Diceros bicornis minor: one gene and its partner. The protein of the gene in region 1 purifies or fractionates together with the protein of each later gene. This does not show direct contact. Links are inferred from orthologs where the notes say so. Each region holds a gene or a part of one and is shown in the gene's direction. Other genes may lie near its edges. The genes, in order: ABCA1 and NR1H2.

Region 1 (8,748 bases):
TTAAGAGACATTTAGGAGGTTCAATTGACCTGACCTTGGTGATTTTTAGAATGAGAAGAGAAAGACAGGGATAGAGAGATGAAAAGTTAAGCGAGCATGACTATGATTTCGCATAGTCAATGTGTGGATGATGATGTCATTAAATGAAATAAAAAATGAAATGCAGATGGAGGAGGGAGATTTAAAGGAAAGATAAAAAAATTGCTTTGGCGTTTACTTGCAGAATGTCCTGTTCAGTGTTGTGCTGGTAAATGTTGTGGGGGTAAATGTTAACTGGCTTTCCAAAAAAAGAAAAGAAGCCCTGATTGTATCAGATTTCCAATGGTGTAAATATTCCCACCATTGGCCAATTTTAAGCTGGCTCCGTGGAAGTCACTTATTGCAGAGTTGGGAAGAGATATACACGGTCAGCTCTTTTGAGCTGGAGTGAGCCAACTCTAGCACACCACTGGTCCTGCTGGGTACTCGATCCTGCGTTAGGGAGCACAGTCGGGGAGCTCAGCAAGAAGATGAGAGCTGGCGATACAGGGTTTAAGTGAAGCCAAGGGAGTGGAGCATGTAGAAATAAAGGGAGAAAACCAGTATTAGGAGACATATATATAAGGAAAGAGGAGACAGAAAGAGAGCAGTTAAAGAGGCAGGAGAGTCAGAAGAGAACCAGCTTCATGAAACACAAGAGAAGAACTAGTTTTGGGAAGGAAAGTGTGGTCAACAGTGTCAAATACCAGAGATCAGATAGCCTGAGGACTTAAAGGAGGTCATCAGTGTTACCAGTTAACAGTCTTTCTGTGCTTGAGATATTTTTCTACATTAAAAATATTTTATAATGATGAAAATGAAAGCATGTATGCCTCTTTCTTTCTTTCTTTTTTTTTTGTGAGGAAGATCAGCCCTGAGCTAACATCCATGACAATCCTCCTCTTTTTGCTGAGGAAGACTGGCCCTGAGCTAACGTCTGTGCCCATCTTCCTCCACTTTATGTGGGACGCTGCCATGGCATGGCCTGAGATGCCGTGCGTGGGTTCGCACCCAGGATCGGAACCCAGGCCCAGGATCCGAACCCGGGCCGCCAGCAGTGGAGTGCGCGCACTTGACAGCTACGCCACGGGGCCGGCCCTCTCTTTCTTCTTAAGGAGGTCATTATTAAATTTGAACAGAACAAAGTCAGAGTGGTGGGGGCAAGAGTTTGCCTGAAATGGGCTGGAAGTGAAAGAAAGGGAGGGAGCAGAGATGAAATTTTTCCAGCAGTTTGGCTCTTAAGGGAAGGCGAGCTTGAAGGGTGGCAGGTTGGAAGGACGGCTTTTAAAAAGAATTATAACTCATTGATCAACTAGTAATTCAGGGGAATATATCTGCTATAATCCAGGCTAATGTGTTGGTCCCAATGATAAGCAGAACAAATATCTTACCCAAGTCCAGAAGCAGTAATCGTTTTGAATCTTGCTTATGTGTCAATAAGAGACACGTTACTACAGAAGGGGATCACACTGGTCCAATTAAATTGAATTTGTAGGTATTGAGAGCCCACACTATACATGGTTTACTCCACAAATAATGGAGAGTCCTTATATATTTTTAAGTTGAATATCAATTGCTTGATGATTTGTCTCTGTGTCTAACCATGTATTAGAATTAAAATGACTCAGGGCCGGCCCCCTGGCTTAGCGGTTAAGTGCGGGTGCTCCGCTGCTGGCGGCCCGGCCGGGATCCCGGGTGCGCACCGCTGCACCGCTTCTCCGGCCATGCTGAGGCCGCGTCCCACGTACAGCAACTAGAAGGATGTGCAGCTGTGACAGACAACTATCTGCTGGGCTTTGGGGGAAAAAAATAAATAAATAAAATTATAAAAAAAAAAAGAATTAAAATGACTCAAATATGAACTGTAGGTCCTTTTATTCCTCTTTATGTGAAAGAAGTATTACCTATGTTTTTTTTTAATTTTGAGGCACCTTTCATTCTTTAGGAATTCTCAAAAAAATCTAGCTATTAGGTCTTCTTAATTGTAACAATTTCAGCTTGAAAAGTTATTTTTAGAATACTTTTTTATTCCTCATTGACTTCCTGTAATACTCTATTTTTTTCAGAGTTTCCAGGAACCAAACAGTATGTGTACCAACCAAAACACATGGGTGGTGAAAATCATTATTTTAAACAATATGTATACATACATCGATGTATGCCGGTTAACGGATATATATAAAGCAACCTCCAAGCAAAGCCTTTTAGGTAATCCCTAATTTAAAAGTCTCAATGGATGATAAAAATCGAGCTTCTCTGTAGCTCCATGACCTCTAGCAGGGTCTCCAAGGCCACAGCTGCCTGAAGGACAATTCTGTAACTAGAAGATGCCAGGGTCATCTGAGAATAGAACCTCAAGCCACCAAGGCTGCTTTACAGAACCAGCTTCTCCCGAGCAACAGCAACAAAAAGGGGCCTTCCTACTTATTTGGAAAGGGTCACCTAGGGTGGGGACTTGGAGTTTTGGTGTTGGTGTTAGCAGGAATCGAAAGACTTGGAGAAAAGCTCACTGAAGCATACTCAGGAACAAATCAACCTATGACATTCAAGGGAGAGAATTCACACTTGTAAACTTTCTCCAGGGACACATTCTCTTAGGCTCTAACTTTTGGAATTCAGTATTTTTGTCATATGAACCTGTCACACTTGCAAAGTATGGGCTTGGTGTCAGCAGACTTATGCCCTTGTGTCACCTGGCCAAATCACTTAGCCTATTTAGGGGCATGTGCTCTTTTATTGGTAGAAATCAACGAGACTAATAAACATGTCTCAAATATGTTTCAAACATTACAGTATGTTCATGTATTCAGTGTAGGGGTGAGCAGATTCTTGACACCATAGGTTCTTAGTTAAAAATGATCAGCTTTGGCTTTGGGGCCACAGACTTATGTATTTAGAATCACTGCCTGTCCTCTCTGGGGCTTCATCTTCTTCTTGGGCTCACCTCCTTTCTCCAGCGTCCTATCTTTGTCTTATTTGTACAGGATGTACAGTCACTCCTTCCTCAGTAGAACAGTCTAAGGGATTACTTTAATAGGGGTGTTCTTGGGAACCATAGCCTCCAAAATTCCAAAAAGAATGATTTTGATGGAGGGATTTTAAGCACTGTGACTGGTAGATGGGGGCAGGGGGTAGAATGCGGCAGGGAAGAGAGAGTCAGAGAGACTTAATCACTCCCCCAAATCATACTTGGAATGGTAACACCTCCTCTGGGAGCTTTCCTTGATATCTAGAAGGTCAGAGAGATTACTTTTAACTCTTTGCTAGACCTAGAGTTTTAAAAGTTTGGCATGAGAAAACTTTATAGGCCATGGCTAGTACCTGCAAATGACATTAATAGTCAGCTAATAACACCCTCTTTGTTTACAGTGCCATTCTTCCGAGGAGCTCAAATAAACAAAATTCACTCTCAGAAAACCCCAGTGAGCTAGAGAGAGCATACATATTTTCTCCATTTTACAGATGAAGAAATGGAGGCAGAAAGTTGCAGATTAGGTGGTTCAGTCAAATTTGACCCCAGAACCCAGTCTCTTGGCTAGGGTTGTTCATTGATCCAGGCAAGAGGGGAGCCCTCTCCTGGGCCCTGGGTTTCAGAAGGCTTGGCTCTGGCCCTCCTCAAACTTCATCCCTTCCTAAGGGTGAGCGGTCCTTCCTAAGGGTCAAAGGGCCATGCCACCAGAGTTATGAGTACGTAGACCCCAGAATTCCTTGCCCTAAGGCCCCTAAGTGCACTTCTAGGGCCTCCAGAGGCCTCCTCACTGGATCTGTCCTGAGTGTTGACAGTACCACTGATTTGTGCACCTGGGCTCAAGTTGTGGCCTTGACTGCAGTGTGGAAGGGGCTTGTGGAGCTGGTCGTCCACATGCACGCAGTGGAGTTTCTTCTTGAATACGATGGAACTGGAGGTGAGAAGAGAAGGGGTCTGGGGGCTGGCTCTCCCACTCCACCCCACTCTTGCCAAAACTCAGGTCAAGTTGTAAGGAGTCTGAAGGCGAACCTGCCCTTCCAGGTTGCTTCAAAGGTAACTTTGTCAAGGTAGGAGACATTTATTTTCAATTTGTTGACTTGATTTATGACCTAAATATTTAGACTTAAAGTATGTGGGCCTCCATTTGTACTCTTGCCTCGGTCCCTCAAATGTGATGGGTGGCCTTGCTCCTGACTGTCAAAGCCAAAGCCAGAGGAAAAAGCTGGCGAACTGGAATGGTTATATAATTTTACATGACTGCAATTCTCTAGCTGCACTTTGCAATCTATAGAAGCCAAAATACAAGCCCTGTGTATTTATCACTAGGACACTGACCAATATCATGAAAATAAAAAGGGGGCTGGTCCACACTGTTCTGTTTTTTGCAGCCTCACCCTCTCCCCAGTTTACAAAGAGAAGGAGCAAGACGCTTTTCATTGGCCCTCCCAGAGACCTGGGAGGCCTTGGCCAGGAATCCCAAAGGCAGCAAGTCGCTATTGAATACCAAAGTCAGAGTTTGTGGTGGCAAACAAAAACAGCTAATTACCCAGAGGACTGTCCACCTTCCCCCACACCCCGGGCATTTGAAAGGAAAGAAAGACTAAAGGGTTGGCGTCCTGAGGGGTTTCAGCCTCGCGTTCTCTCACCCCCCAATCCCTCCGACTGAGTAAACTAACAAAAGAAGAAAAAAAAAATTGCGGAAAACACGAGTTTAGAGGAAGCGATTTCCACCAGTGCTGTTGGCTGCCCGGAACGTGGACGAGAGAGAGTCTCCGGCTCAGCCCCAAGCACCGCGTTTGCCGCCAGTCCTAGGCGGGCAGGCCCGAGCCGGGGTAGGGGCGCCGAGCCAAGACCAGGTGATGCCTGCAGCATCCCCACCTACCACCCTCCGCCCCCAGCCCTGCACCGAGCCGCAGGACGTCGCCGGTTTAAGGGGCGGGGCGCGGCTCCACGTGCTTTCTGCTGAGTGACTGAACTACATAAACAGAGGCCGGGGAAAGGGGCGGGGAAGGAGGGAGAGAACAGGCTTTGACCGATAGTAACCCCAGCGCTCAGCGCAGCCGAATCTATAAAAGGAACTAGTCGCGGCAAAAACCCGGTAATTCCGAGGGAGAGTGAGTGGGGCCGGCGCAAGCCAAGCCGAGCTGACAGCTCTCTGCCCGGGCGCAGGTGGGCAGGGCAGGGGGCACCGCGGGACCAGCGCCGCCAGAGCCAATTTCTTGGGGCGCTTTGCTCCTTCCCCCCCCCCCTTTTTCCTGGAAGGGATTTTCAAGGGGTGGGGGAAAGATACTCAAACACAAAAGTGGAAAACAGGTAAGAGGCTCTTCAGTGACTTGGACATTCTTGTTTTGTTTCTGGGCGGAGCAGGTTTTGAGAAGTGCTCGGTTTCAGGTACTTTGGTCCGAACCCCCACATCCCACCTCTTGCAACGCAAATGGGGCAGGGGCGGCTTAAATGGGGGGGAGGACGTCCTAGGACGAGCTCTGGCGACCCAGAGATTCGGCGCTGCGGCCCTCGGTGCTCGCCCGGCGGTGGAGCCCGGGGAGCATCTCTGGGCGTGGAGACCAGGGCGCAGTAGTCGGTGCAGTGGAATCGGGGGCTCCTGGTCGTGCTGGGGGCGCTGCTGCCGGAGTGGAGAGAGGGGCAGGTCCGGCACCCAGCGCTTCCCTTTGTTCCGAAGCGTCTGAGCCGGCTGAAAACCCTTCTGGCTGCAGGTAGGCCGGCGCCCACCGGGACAAATGCCAGCACTCAGTCCCTCCTCGGTTCTTAAAAAGCTGGTCTGAGTTGGGCTGTGACCTGGGCATCGGCCCCGTGCGCCCCGGACCTGGAGCGGCGGTCCTTCTTCCCCAAGAACTCGACTGGGAGGTGTCCCAAACGGGGTCCGTAGCGCTAGTGCTCACTTGAGGCCTCGGGGGCTTTGTTTGACCTGGGGGTCCTGTCTATGGTCCTGCCTCCGTGCGCTTACCAGAGCTGGTGTCCCTGGCGCAGCAGGGGACGAGTTTTGTTCCTTTTAAAAACAGAAGACTTAGAGACAAGGAGAGTCTGTGGAAACTGGAGCTGAGGTACCTACTCTTCGCCCCCCATCTTCCTGTGCTTTGCTGCTTGTCTCTTGGGGCAGCCTCAGGCCCGGCACGGATGGGGAAGCTGGGGCGCGACGGTGCAGCAGAATGACCGGGAGTAACCCCGGCAGGCGGTGCAGAACTCCGAGCCCCGCCGCGCGGCTGGGCTCGGCGGTGGGGGTGGGGAGGGCTGGGCGCGGGCTGCCGGCGGCCTCGAGGGATTGGCCCGCAGCGCCTCCTGGCCGGGTGGCCTGGGAATCGGCCCCGTGGTCGGAGTGGGGCCGGGCTCTACGAGGCATTGTCGCTCGCGGGTTCCGACTGAGATCCCGTGAAGACGGGTGGTTGCAAACTGGGAGGAAACTTGAAGGATCAGGCAAAAGCCCATCTAGTGGTTTTTTGTTAGAATGTTTCCCGGACCCCAAGACCGTTGCTAAACCGGAAGGTTCTTGGGTCATGGGCCAGTGTGCCAGGGTTGTGTGTTGGTGCCTCTTCTTCAGCACTTATCAGAAAGAAGGAAAAAAGATAAAAAAGGAGAGAGAGAGAAGGAGAGAGAAAAAGGGAAAGAGAGAAAGAGGAGAGAGAGAAAAGCATCTGGCACAGGAAGTAATTGGCCCTTGTTTTTTGCAGCATAGATACCATCAGCTTTTAAAACGGGGGACTTGTCAGTGACACCTCACAAAATGAGTGGATCATATATACATTCGTATAATAGAGGACAAATTTGATATTTTTAAAAACTTCCCTAGTGATGAAAATCAGCAAGTCATTTTCTAAGGCCGGATCTCGATTTAACTCTAAATAGAGCCCTGTAACAGACCCTGGACACTTTGACTTGGCGTATTTACAGTTCATGTGAGACGATGATTAGTCTAGGATTAGAAAGGGGTGATTAGCGCTTGGTTGGTTTCACCCTCTGCTCCAGGAAGTCTCAATGCAAACATTATTAAAAATGAATGAAACTGAAGGAAACTCAGTGACAGCTTTTTATTATCTTACGTAGTATGTACCTTATATGGAGAGAAGTTGGAATATTTTTTCATTTAAAATATTTTTTAGGGCTCTTCCCTCCCATTAACCAAATTGTTTATGCTGTATTGGTAGTGATTGCAAATTGTTAATATCTTCGCTATTTCGATTTTTAGCTCCTAAAATAATTACATGGGCATTGCCTTAGACTCTTTAATTGTGAACCTTTTGGATATCCAGAAAATACCGATAGACATGATTTTTGCATTTCTAAAATACTCTCAAATCCAAATACGTTTTTATTTACTCTCTGGATATTAAAGAAATAATGCAAATATAATGCTCCTTATGATCAATTACTCCAGCATCAAATTTTAAAAGATCTTTCTGAAAATTTGTTTTAACTATTCTGAGAGAGGGCCTACACTAAAAACTGAGAACATCTTCATATCTGCATGTGGAAATAAGCATAAATGCCAAAGTTATTGCAATGTTTATTTAATAGACACTGTTAAATAGCAGTATGTGCCAGGTACTTTTCCATATGCTTTTCAAATACTAACTAATTTAATCTTCACAATAAACCCATTTATTATCCCTATTTTACATATTAAGAAACTGGGAGGTTAACTGGCCACCCACTTTGCAAGTGGCAGAGCTAAGGTTTGAACCTAGCCCGTGAGCTCCAGAGTTCTTTAACTCCCACACCATGCAGTGAGGTGGTACAATTTCAGCTGCTGCAAGCAGAGGACTTTCTGAGGATGCTCACTATGTTCTGGCACATTCATCTCCTGTAGTCCTTATCAGAATTTACAGCCGGTATCATATTTCTGTTGTTGCTGTGAGTGGGCCAGCCAAATTCTCTTCAGCTTGCTGGGGCCTTGGTTGCATAGAGATTGCAACATCATGGAAAGAACATACAATAAAATTTACTCAACTCTAATTTCTTTACTTGGCTTAAAATGAAAACTTCACTATTGCTTCAGTCAAATATTTGTGAGTAAGTCTGTGATCTCAAAGTGTTTTCCTATGCAATGTGTAGAAAATGGGAAGACAGTATTTGGCTGTAAAAGTATATAAAAAAAAAGGAAAAGGGAGGAGAACTATTACTTTAGCTGTCAATCCCAACTTTGGTAAAACTTTTTTTGTTGGTTATAATACAATACAGTCTCTGCTTGTTCTCTCCCTAACTGTTGTGGACCTTTTGAAATGTTATTTCTTTTTTTTTTTTAATTTTTTATTGTTGAGATTTTTTTGTGTTTTTGTGTGTGTGTGTGTGAGGAAGATCAACCCTGAGCTGACATCCAATGCCAATCCTTCTCTTTTTGCTGAGGAAGATGGGCCCTGGACTAACATCCGTGCCCATCTTCCTCTACTTTATATGGGATGCTGCCACAGCATGGCTTGACAAGTGGTGCGTCGGTGCTCCCGGGATCCAAACCTGGAACCCCAGGCCGCCAAAGCGGAGTGCACGCACTTAACTGCTACACTACCAGGCCAGCCCCAATAAGTTATTTCTTTATTACTGCCATTACTGTCTAGGAATCAAAGTTAGGCTTTTCTTAAGGCATCTTTCTCTGAAAGTAAATACACTTTCACAGTCTGCTTTATAAAAGTGAAATAGGATGGGAAACTTTTTCTTATTAAATTGGTGTAGCAGGTTAGAAACAAACTCTTAGAAAGCATTTCTTCTTGGTAAAAACAGTTACATTTATTGTTGATTTACTGTATGCTGGG
Region 2 (9,466 bases), on another chromosome or scaffold:
CTCTAAGATGTCATCGGTTGTCAGCCATGTGCATCTCAGGATCAATGATATTGTCTATACTGTTAATTTACTTATTACCTTTAACGCTCGTTTCCCCGTTAGAATCTAATCTCCACGAGGGCAGGGATCTTGGTCTGTTTCATTAACCACTGTGTCCCCAGAACCTAGCACAGTGCCTGGCATCTAGCAAATAATAAATACTTTTAACAACCCACTTTGAGCACCTGTTGCTCTGGGGGACTTCCCTGACACAGCAGCTGCAGAGTCACTTTCTCTACAATAACTCGCACCACATCTGCCCGTCCTCTGTCTCAGAGGCTGGAATACTCAGTCTTGACCCCTCAGAATCTCCCCACCCGGGTTCCGCATCATCCAGTCCCAACGCCCACTCTGTTAATAAGTGGTTTCTGACAGATCTTGCCTGCAAATTCGTAAATGGCCACACGGTGGTGCTGTGGGCCAATTTTCCAAGCCAACACCAGCTCTGTCCCCACTCCCCACATGAGTTTCCTTTTCTGAGTCCTGGTTCACGATTTATTGAACAGGCTATGAGCCATACTCCTAACAGCTAAAATGCAAAGCCTTGTGATTATTCTCTATTCAGGACGAGGAGAAAATATTTTCTGATCAGTCTATTTTACACGAGTTGTGATAATAGTTTCATTTGTTTCTTCACATACATTTCAACATAAATTTTCTGAATGTCTTGAAAAATTAGTACACACACTGTAAACATGGCTGACTCGACACACCACGTTTTCACATTGGTAATAACATTTGATGCGCTTTCTTGTAATTATGAAGAACTAGTCTCTTTTTTTCTTTATTGTGAAATTTTTGTTGTGCATTATTGTTTGAGAGTCACCATATAAATGCATCCCGTCACCCCTTGTGCCCGCCCCCACCCCCCTTGCCCCTGGTAACCACCAAACAGTTCTCTCTGTCTGTGTGTTGGTTTATCTTTCACATATGAGTGAAATCATGTGGTGTTGGTCTTTCTCTTTCTGGCTTATTTCGCTTAGCATAGTACCCTCCAGGTCCTTCCATGTTGTTGCAAATGGGACTATTTTGTCTTTTTTCATGGCCGAGTAGTATTCCATTGTATGTATACACCACATCTTCCTGATCCACTCATCAGGAAGAACTAGTCTCTTAATTTGACTTAAATTACTGTGATCCAACAAGGATTTATTAAGCACCTTCCCCAAGGTAGCTTTTTTTTTTTAATATTTAATTTTAAAATTTTACCTCCCCAGTTTCTTGAGCTGAATCCTGGAACACATCAGTCTCTTTCAAAGCTCCTTGCTTTTGCCCTTGTGGTTCCCACTGCCTGGAATGTAGACTGCGCAGTGAAAGGAGCAGATGCTTCCCCCTGACTGCCTCCCGCCGGAGGTAGTGCGGACATTAACAAAAGAAACCTTAACTAAATAGGAGTTGGGAAGGCCTGTAGGGGGAGCTCTCACGCCCATCACACACCATCAATTACACCAAGAGACAGAGCTTGCATCTCTGACAGGAAATAAAACTACTCTACTACTGAAGGAAGATTTCTCTCCCCACCTGGCAACAGCCCAGCCAATGAGAAACACTGCAGCTCAGCCAATGAGAAACGCCACAGCTCAGCCAATGAGAAATGCTGCAGCTCAGCCAATGAGAAACACTTCAGCTCAGCCAATGAGAAATGCCACAGCTCAGCCAATGAGAAATGCTGCAGCTCAGCCAATGAGAGGCCATAGCTGCCCCAAACTGTTACTTTCCCCCAATGGACTTTCCTTCAGAGCAGCCCCTCCCTACTCCCCCTTTTTCTCTATAAAAGCAGCTCCCCTCCTTTGTTTTCTGGATTTGCCTATAGTTTGCCATAGCATGCACCTCCTGAATTGCAATTCCTTTGGCTATTCCCCAATAAACTCATTTTGAGATGAAATAACAGGTAAATTTGCTTTTTAAGTTGACAGTAGCTAAGAGATGTCTTCTTAACACAGCAAATGGGACCAGGATCACCCCCTATTTTTTCATATAGTGGTTTGTGCCCAGGTTGACCTCCACCACCAAACCAGGAGGCCTTCCAGGTAAGGCTCAGGCCTGACCCCTTTCAGGGTCTCCAGCCTCGCTCAGCACAATCCTACGGGAGGCCGCGGGCTGTGATTGGGTAAAGGATTGCCAGATTTTTCAACTCACCATTTTATTTATTCATCCAGCAACCTGGATGATTAAGAGAGGAATTATCATTCACATTTTACAGAGGCGGGAAACTGAGATGAGGGGGCGGAGGGGATGGGTGGGAAGGTGGTACAGGCCAGGTGTACTCCGCGGGGATTTGAACCTGCATTTTCAGGCTCTAGACACCTTGGAGTCAGCTCAGAGACCTCGGCTTTCACTCACTGCACCTATCACTTTTGCTTGCATTCTATTGGCCAGAACTCAGTCACGTGGTCACACTTAGCTGCAAGGGCAGCTGGGAAATGTAGTCCACTTGTGTCGCCCAGGTCAAGAGACTGTTTTTTGTGAATTCTCAGCCAGTACTGGACTCATCTGGCCCACAAGGCCTCATGATGGGACTGTGCTCCCTCTAGGATATTACCTCTTCCTCCTCACCTCATTAAGCTCCAGCCACCTTGGTCTCCTTGCTGCTTTTTGAATATGCCAAAATTCCTACCTCAGGGCCTTTGCATTGATTGTTCTATCTGGCTGGAACACACTTTCCCTCAAGTGTCCATACGGCTCCCTCTCTCACACACATTACCTCTGGAAGTTTTATTTGGGCCAAGAGGCTATTTTATTTCCACAATAACTGGGGTAGCTGCTGTCATTTACTGGGCAGGGGTTGGGGAGTTAGGCACATGGAAAGCTTAAATGTCCTGCTAGACATTCCATCAAAAAGTTGTTGCCTAATTATCTGACTTTCAGCCTACTCTCTTTCACATATACTTGCCAATGTAATTTCTGGCGTGACTTTAATATACCCTGAATTTTCTTGGGGTGCATCTCATGTATATACCAAGGAAAGATTATAGTTGGTCTTATTGATGATTTTATTAAGACTTGGCCACAGTTTTGGAAAAATCGCATCACCCACAGCAATGCTGCCTGAGGCATCTGAGTTGATACAGCACTTGTCTGTCAGACAGCTAGACACAAACAGCAATTCTGTATTTGGAAGTAAGATCTGGCTGCCATGTCGTTTCTCCTGTGTACTTATGTTGAAGTGCGTATCACTTTAGCTTACATTCATTCATCTTTTGCATTGCATTTGTTGAAATAGAATGATATTTTGTTGTTGTTGTGGTCACAGTTGAGCTATATTATCTCTGCATTTCACTTCAGAAGAGTAAAGGCAGAGTTCCACATTACAAATTATTTGTGATAAAAAGAAACAGAATTAGCCGTCAGGGAAGTGCAAATTAAAACCACAGTGAAACATGACTTCATACCCACTAGGATGGCTGTAATAAAAAAGACATAATAACAAGTGTTGGTCCTGATGTCAAGAAATTCACATCTTCGCACACTGCTGGTGGGAAAGTAAAATGGTGCATAGAGTCTGGCAGTTCCTCAAAGGGTTAAACATGGAGTTATTATATAACTCAGAAATCTCACTCCTAGGTATATACCCAAGAGGATTGGAAACATATGTCTACACAAAAATTTGCACAGGAATGTTCATAGCAGGACTATAACCAATAGAAACAACCCAAATCTCCATCAACTAATGAATGATAAAATGTGGTGTATCCATACAATGGAATAATATTCAGCCATAAAGAGAAATGAAGTACTGATATTTGCTCCAACGGAGATGAACCTCAAAAGCATTATGCTAAGCGAAAGAAGCCAGACACGAAAGGACGTATATTCTAAGATTCCGTTTATAGGAAATGTCCACAATAGACAAATCCATAGACACAGAAAGTAGATTAATGGTTGCCTAGGGCTTGGGGGATGCGGGCAGTGGGGGTGACTGTTAGTGGGTATGGGGTTTCCTTTGGGGGGGGTGACAAAAATGTTCTAAAATTCATCGTGGTGATGGTTGCAACAATTCTGTGAATATACTAAAACCATTGAATTGTACTCTTTAAATTGGTGAATTGTTTGAGTACGTGACTTAAATCTCAATAAAGCTGTTACAAAAAAAATCAGGGGATATTGGATCCATTACAAACGAGAACACTGGTCCGCGGTTAGTTTCAAATAACAAAATTGCACTGATCGGAGTTTTAGATATACCACGCACCGCCTTTCCTGAATCCTCACACCCTTCAAAAGAAAAACAAATAATTTCCCTCATTTTACAGGTAGGTCAACCGAGACTAGGAGTGATGTGATTTGCCCCAAACTGTTGTAATTCATCTTCAGCCTACTGCACTCTTCTAATAGTGAAAAGTTAAAAACAACTTTAACATCCACAAAAATAAACCTAGCTCCCACACCCTGGGCTCGCTATTTGAGTCCTGTCCATGCTTTTTAGCTCATTTAATCATAATAACAATGCAATAAACTCTTGTTCCCAATGTCAGATAAGAAACCGAGGTGCAGGGAGGGTAAATAGCTTGGCTCAACATTACACGGCGAGGAAGTGGCAGACACACCAGTTCAGCCAGCCCCAGACGCCCATGGAAACCACTCGTTTTACTGGTAACATCCTTGGAAAATTCCACAGCTTCCAAGGCCGTGCCGGAACCGACAAAACAAGCTACAAAAGACCATAGATCACACATTCCTCTTTTGGAAAAAAATGCGTGTATGCTCGATATAGATCTGATTACCACGGGGGAAAGACTTTGGAAAAATGTCCGTCTTCTACCTGATCAAGTATTCTGAGTTTTCTTTAAAAGCTATTATTTTTATCTTTCTGGCAGGGGAAGCTACGCTTTTTTTTTTTCTTTTTTTATTCTTCCTATCATGAAGTTATTTTTTAAATATATTTTTTTCTGGGTCGAGGTTTGTAAATTAACGTATTTAAAACCAACAAGCAGAGCACCTCCAAAATCAAAAAACTTCTAACAACCAAAAAAAGACAAACGATTTAAATCAGCCATCTGCGAAAAGGAGCTAGAGCTAGGGGACAAGCATGCCGCGTAAATCCTTGGCTGCGAGCCCAGAAAGGCACAGGATGAGTTAAAGCCACACAGCGCGCGGCGGGAAGGTTTGGGACTGGCCACGCCCACTCTCGCCCAGGGTTTGATTGACGGATCCGGAACTCTTCTCCCAGTCCCCAGTGGGTATACGACTTCCGTGCGGGGCAGCCGATTTAGCTAGTCCTACGCGGACCGGAAGTCCGTCCATTCTGACTCCCCGCCCTTTTCCGGAAGTGACGCACGGTGGGGTTGCCGGAAGAAGTGGCGAAGTTACTTTTGAGGGGACTCGAGCAGCGGCGGCGTGCCAGGGGACACAGAGAAGGAGGACGAGAGGCAGAGCAAGGGGACGGAGGCAGGTACGCTTGGGTGTGGGGCGACGCGGGAGGAGCCCGGGCCCGGGGCTTCCCGGCGTTCCCCGCGCTGCTCCGCTCAGCCCCCTTCTCTCCCGTCGCCCCCTCCCCTCCGTAGCTCGCGCCGCCTCCGGCTGTTTCCAGGGCAACGGGAGTAGGAGACCCCGCGAGAGGACGCCCACGAGACCCTCGCGCGCAGCCATGAGCCCCGCCCTCCACTGGTGCTCGGAGAGGGGCGTGACCTGGAGCGAGGTGTGGGGGCGGAGCTTGATGGGAGGAGGTGGGGCGGGGCCTGGAGGGAGAGGTACGGATGGGGGGAGTGCAGAATGATGGGGCGGCGCCTTATGGGAGGAGTGAGGGTGGACCCGGGAAGGGATGGGGCGGGGCCTAGAAAAGATGGGGCGGAGCGTAATAGGAGGAGGTGGGGTCAGAATGGGAGAGGGGGTGCTTCCTCGACAGAGGTGGGCGGAGTCTGAGTAAGAGATGGGGTGAAACTGGGAAGGAGGAAGTGAGGGTGCAGCACGATTGAAGCAGAAGGGGCAGTAGTTGGAAAGAGCAGGTGGGTGGGATCTGGAGTGGGCGGGGCCAGAAGGGGCGGAGCCTAGAGGGGGCGGGGCTTGAGCCCAAGCAGAAGGGGGCCGGCGCTGTTAGAATTGGAGGGAAGGGTTTGTAGGCTGGCAGGGGCCGGGGTTGGCGTCTGTAGGGTGGTAGGGGAGGAGTCTGGGAGAGACGGAAGAAAGAGAGGTGCCCCCATCAGAACCTGTGGCTGGCCTCACCTGACCCTCCCTGGCCCCACAAGGCTCTGAGTCCCCCTGTATTCTGCAGGCTGCTCCGTGACCCCACCATGTCCACCCCCACCACGAGTTCCCAGGACTCGCCCTTGCCTGGTGAGTGACCCCCTTCCCCACCCAGCACCCCCCAATCCCACACTTGTCAGGAGAAACTCACTGTGCCTCCTTCTCCCAGGACATGGCCCCCCTCAGCCCAGCGCCCCCTCCTCTTCACCCGCTGTAAAGGACGAGGGTCCTGAGCCGTGGCCTGGGGGTCGGGACCCTGATGTCCCAGGCGCTGATGGGGCCGGGTCGGCCTGCAGTGTGGGTGAGACGGGGCCCAGGGACGGGGCTGAGAGTTGGGATGGGGGCTCGGGAAGGGCTCTAGGAAGGCAGAAAGATCGGAAGTGGGGATGGGAGGCCCCAACTTGTTGATTTCTTTTTTTCCCTTCCTCTTTGACACCTCTTGTTTCGCTTCGTTCTTTGGGGTCCGCTGATGTATACACCTTTGCTCTGAATCGCCGTCTCCCCGGTTCCCTCCCTCCCACGATCTCTCGTGGGCCTGCCCCTCTGGCTGCTGTTTCTCTCTGTGGCTCCGTCCCTCATGGCCTCTGTCCGCCCACCACAGTCGCCCCCGACCCAGCCGAGGAGCCGGAGCGCAAGCGGAAGAAGGGCCCGGCCCCGAAGATGCTGGGCCACGAGCTGTGCCTCGTGTGCGGCGACACGGCCTCCGGCTTCCACTACAACGTGCTCAGCTGTGAAGGCTGCAAGGGCTTCTTCCGGCGCAGCGTGGTCCGAGGCGCCGCTGGGCGCTACGCCTGCCGGGGTGGCGGGACCTGCCAGATGGACGCCTTCATGCGGCGCAAGTGCCAGCAGTGCCGGCTGCGCAAATGCAAGGAGGCAGGCATGCGGGAGCAGTGTGAGTGCCCGGGAGGGAGCCCCGCCAGCCGGGCCCCTGCCCAGCCCCGGGGCCCCCGCTGAGGCCTGCGTCTGCCCTGCAGGCGTCCTCTCCGAGGAGCAGATCCGCAAGAAGAAGATTCGGAAGCAGCAGCAGCAGCAGCAGCCGTCACCCAAAGGGCCGGGGGTCAGCGGCAGCTCAGCCTCTGGGCCTGGGGCCTCCCCTGGAGGGTCTGATGGGGGCGCCCAGGGCTCCGGGGAAGGCGAGGGTGTCCAGCTAACAGCCGCTCAGGAACTGATGATCCAGCAGTTGGTGGCGGCCCAGCTGCAGTGCAACAAACGCTCCTTCTCCGACCAGCCCAAAGTCACGGTACCGGCCCTTCCGCAGCCTCCAGGGGTGGTGGGCCCGGCGGGGTCAAGCTGGCAGGGCTGCAGCCCAGGCCATGGTGGGGCATGGGGCTCCAGAGGGCAGGAAGGTCTCCTAGGGTGCAGGCTTCCTCAAGGTGCCCCCATGGCCTTGGGCTCGTAGGAGGAGTCTTCTGAGTAACCCTGGCCCCTCGCGTCCCCAGCCCTGGCCCCTGGGTGCGGACCCCCAGTCCCGTGACGCCCGCCAGCAGCGTTTCGCCCACTTCACGGAGCTGGCCATCATCTCGGTCCAAGAGATTGTGGATTTCGCCAAGCAGGTGCCCGGCTTCCTGCAGCTGGGCCGCGAGGACCAGATCGCCCTCCTGAAGGCATCTACCATTGAGGTAACAGCCGGCCCGCCATCCCCAGCAAGGCCCTTCCCTCCTGTCCACAAAGAACCCCAGAGATAAGCCCCGGGCCAGATGCCAGGCACATAGTGATGAGCAAGACTCCTCCAGTCCTCACCCTTGTGGGGATGACACTCTCCAGGGGAATGTCGAAATATTAAACAAGGTAATCAGAGCTTCCCGGGAGCCAAGGAGAGAAAGGAAACCGGCTGAGGCTGAGAATAATTGAGGATTGGGCTGGAGGGGCGCACTTTAGAGAATGTGCCAAAAAGTCTATTCAGCGAGTTGACATTTGAACCAAACGATGGTAACAAGTATTGAGTGCCTGGTGTATGCCAGGCTCCATTCCAAGTGCTGGGCATATGGGAGTGAATGAACCAGACACAGACTCTGTCCCCGTGCCTCGTGCATCAGGAGAGCATCCTGAGTGGAGGGTGCTGTGGGTGCCGAACCTGCAGGAGGGAGGGAGCCTGCAGTGTCCAACAGGACACAGGCTGGTGTGGCCGAGAGTACGGGGGGCAGAGGGGCGAGGCACGATGCTGGAGAGATCGGGCCCCCGTTCAGGCCAGGAGAGGAGGGCCTGGTGGCTGGAGGCTCACAGGGACGCCTCGAGCCCCCTGCCCCCACTGCTGTCCCCAGATCATGCTGCTGGAGACGGCCAGACGCTACAACCATGAGACAGGTTGCATCACCTTCCTGAAGGACTTCACCTATAGCAAGGATGATTTCCACCGCGCAGGTAGGGCCCCGGGGCCGGCGGCTGGGGGCCCGGGGGCCGGGGTGGGGCCCCTGCTGGCTGGGAGACCTCGGGCCGGCTCATCCTTGAGGCCTGAGCCTCCGTTTCTTTATCTCCAAAACCGGCTGAGGGTTGAGCCAACCCTGACGCAAGATAAGAGCACATGTATTGAGTGCCAAGTCTGTACGGTGGAACGCAGTGCAGGATGAGACAGGCTTCTGCTATCATACAGAGCATCTGGGTGGGAATGAGAAAAAGACACTGCCTCCTCCCAAAGCTGGTCTCAGCCGAGGGAGGCTGGATCTCACTTGGTTGTGAAGTGCGCAACCTACCCAACTGTACAGGGCAGTCCTGGTCCCTGCCCTCCAAGAGCACTGGCTAGACTGGGGATGTGCCCTAGGCGGTGGGCTTCTGGAGGAAGTGAAGTTGAGCCGAGGCCTGAGGGGTGAGAGACATCACCTAGGGAAAGGGAGGTGGGGAGTACTATTCCCCACAGGGGAACTGCATGTGCAAAGCCCCCACTCCCTTGGCCTCTGGGCTTTCCCAGTAAGTCCTGCTCTTTCCCGGCATCTCTCCCTGGGACACCTCTCTCTACTCCCGACCCCTGCTCGTAGCCCCATCATCTTCCCTTTCTCCGATTCCTGGCCCTTCCAACGCCCAAACAGTCCCAGTAACCATTTGAGTATGAACTTGGCAGGGGAACATTGTGGGGGGAGAGTGTTCTGGTAGCGGGGGGTCAGCGTGTGCAAAGGCCCTGAGGTGGGGAAGAGCTGGACGGTTTGAAGGAACTATAGGGAGGCCCAGACAGCTGGAGTACAGAGATTTGGGGCTGGAGAGGTGGTTGCCACAGTCCAGGCCTCAATTGTCTCTCCCTGGAACATGGCAG

What was found.
Region 2: the proteins of ABCA1 (region 1) and NR1H2 purify together in Homo sapiens (affinity purification with western blotting; 3 studies listed by BioGRID and IntAct, with this or other methods). This does not show direct contact. The link is inferred for Diceros bicornis minor from reciprocal best matches to the Homo sapiens genes ABCA1 and NR1H2.

Annotation. Positions count from the first base shown.
Region 1 is NC_080767.1:14,665,611-14,674,358, reverse strand, and holds the start of ABCA1 (phospholipid-transporting ATPase ABCA1), read left to right. Parts: upstream 1-5,073; 5' UTR 5,074-5,299; intron 5,300-8,748. UniProt on the Homo sapiens protein: Catalyzes the translocation of specific phospholipids from the cytoplasmic to the extracellular/lumenal leaflet of membrane coupled to the hydrolysis of ATP.
Region 2 is NC_080773.1:25,576,047-25,585,512, forward strand, and holds the start of NR1H2 (oxysterols receptor LXR-beta), read left to right. Parts: upstream 1-5,303; 5' UTR 5,304-5,431; intron 5,432-5,543; 5' UTR 5,544-5,677; intron 5,678-6,250; 5' UTR 6,251-6,269; coding exon 6,270-6,312; intron 6,313-6,391; coding exon 6,392-6,523; intron 6,524-6,823; coding exon 6,824-7,114; intron 7,115-7,196; coding exon 7,197-7,462; intron 7,463-7,661; coding exon 7,662-7,841; intron 7,842-8,483; coding exon 8,484-8,583; intron 8,584-9,466. UniProt on the Homo sapiens protein: Nuclear receptor that exhibits a ligand-dependent transcriptional activation activity. Binds preferentially to double-stranded oligonucleotide direct repeats having the consensus half-site sequence 5'-AGGTCA-3' and 4-nt spacing (DR-4).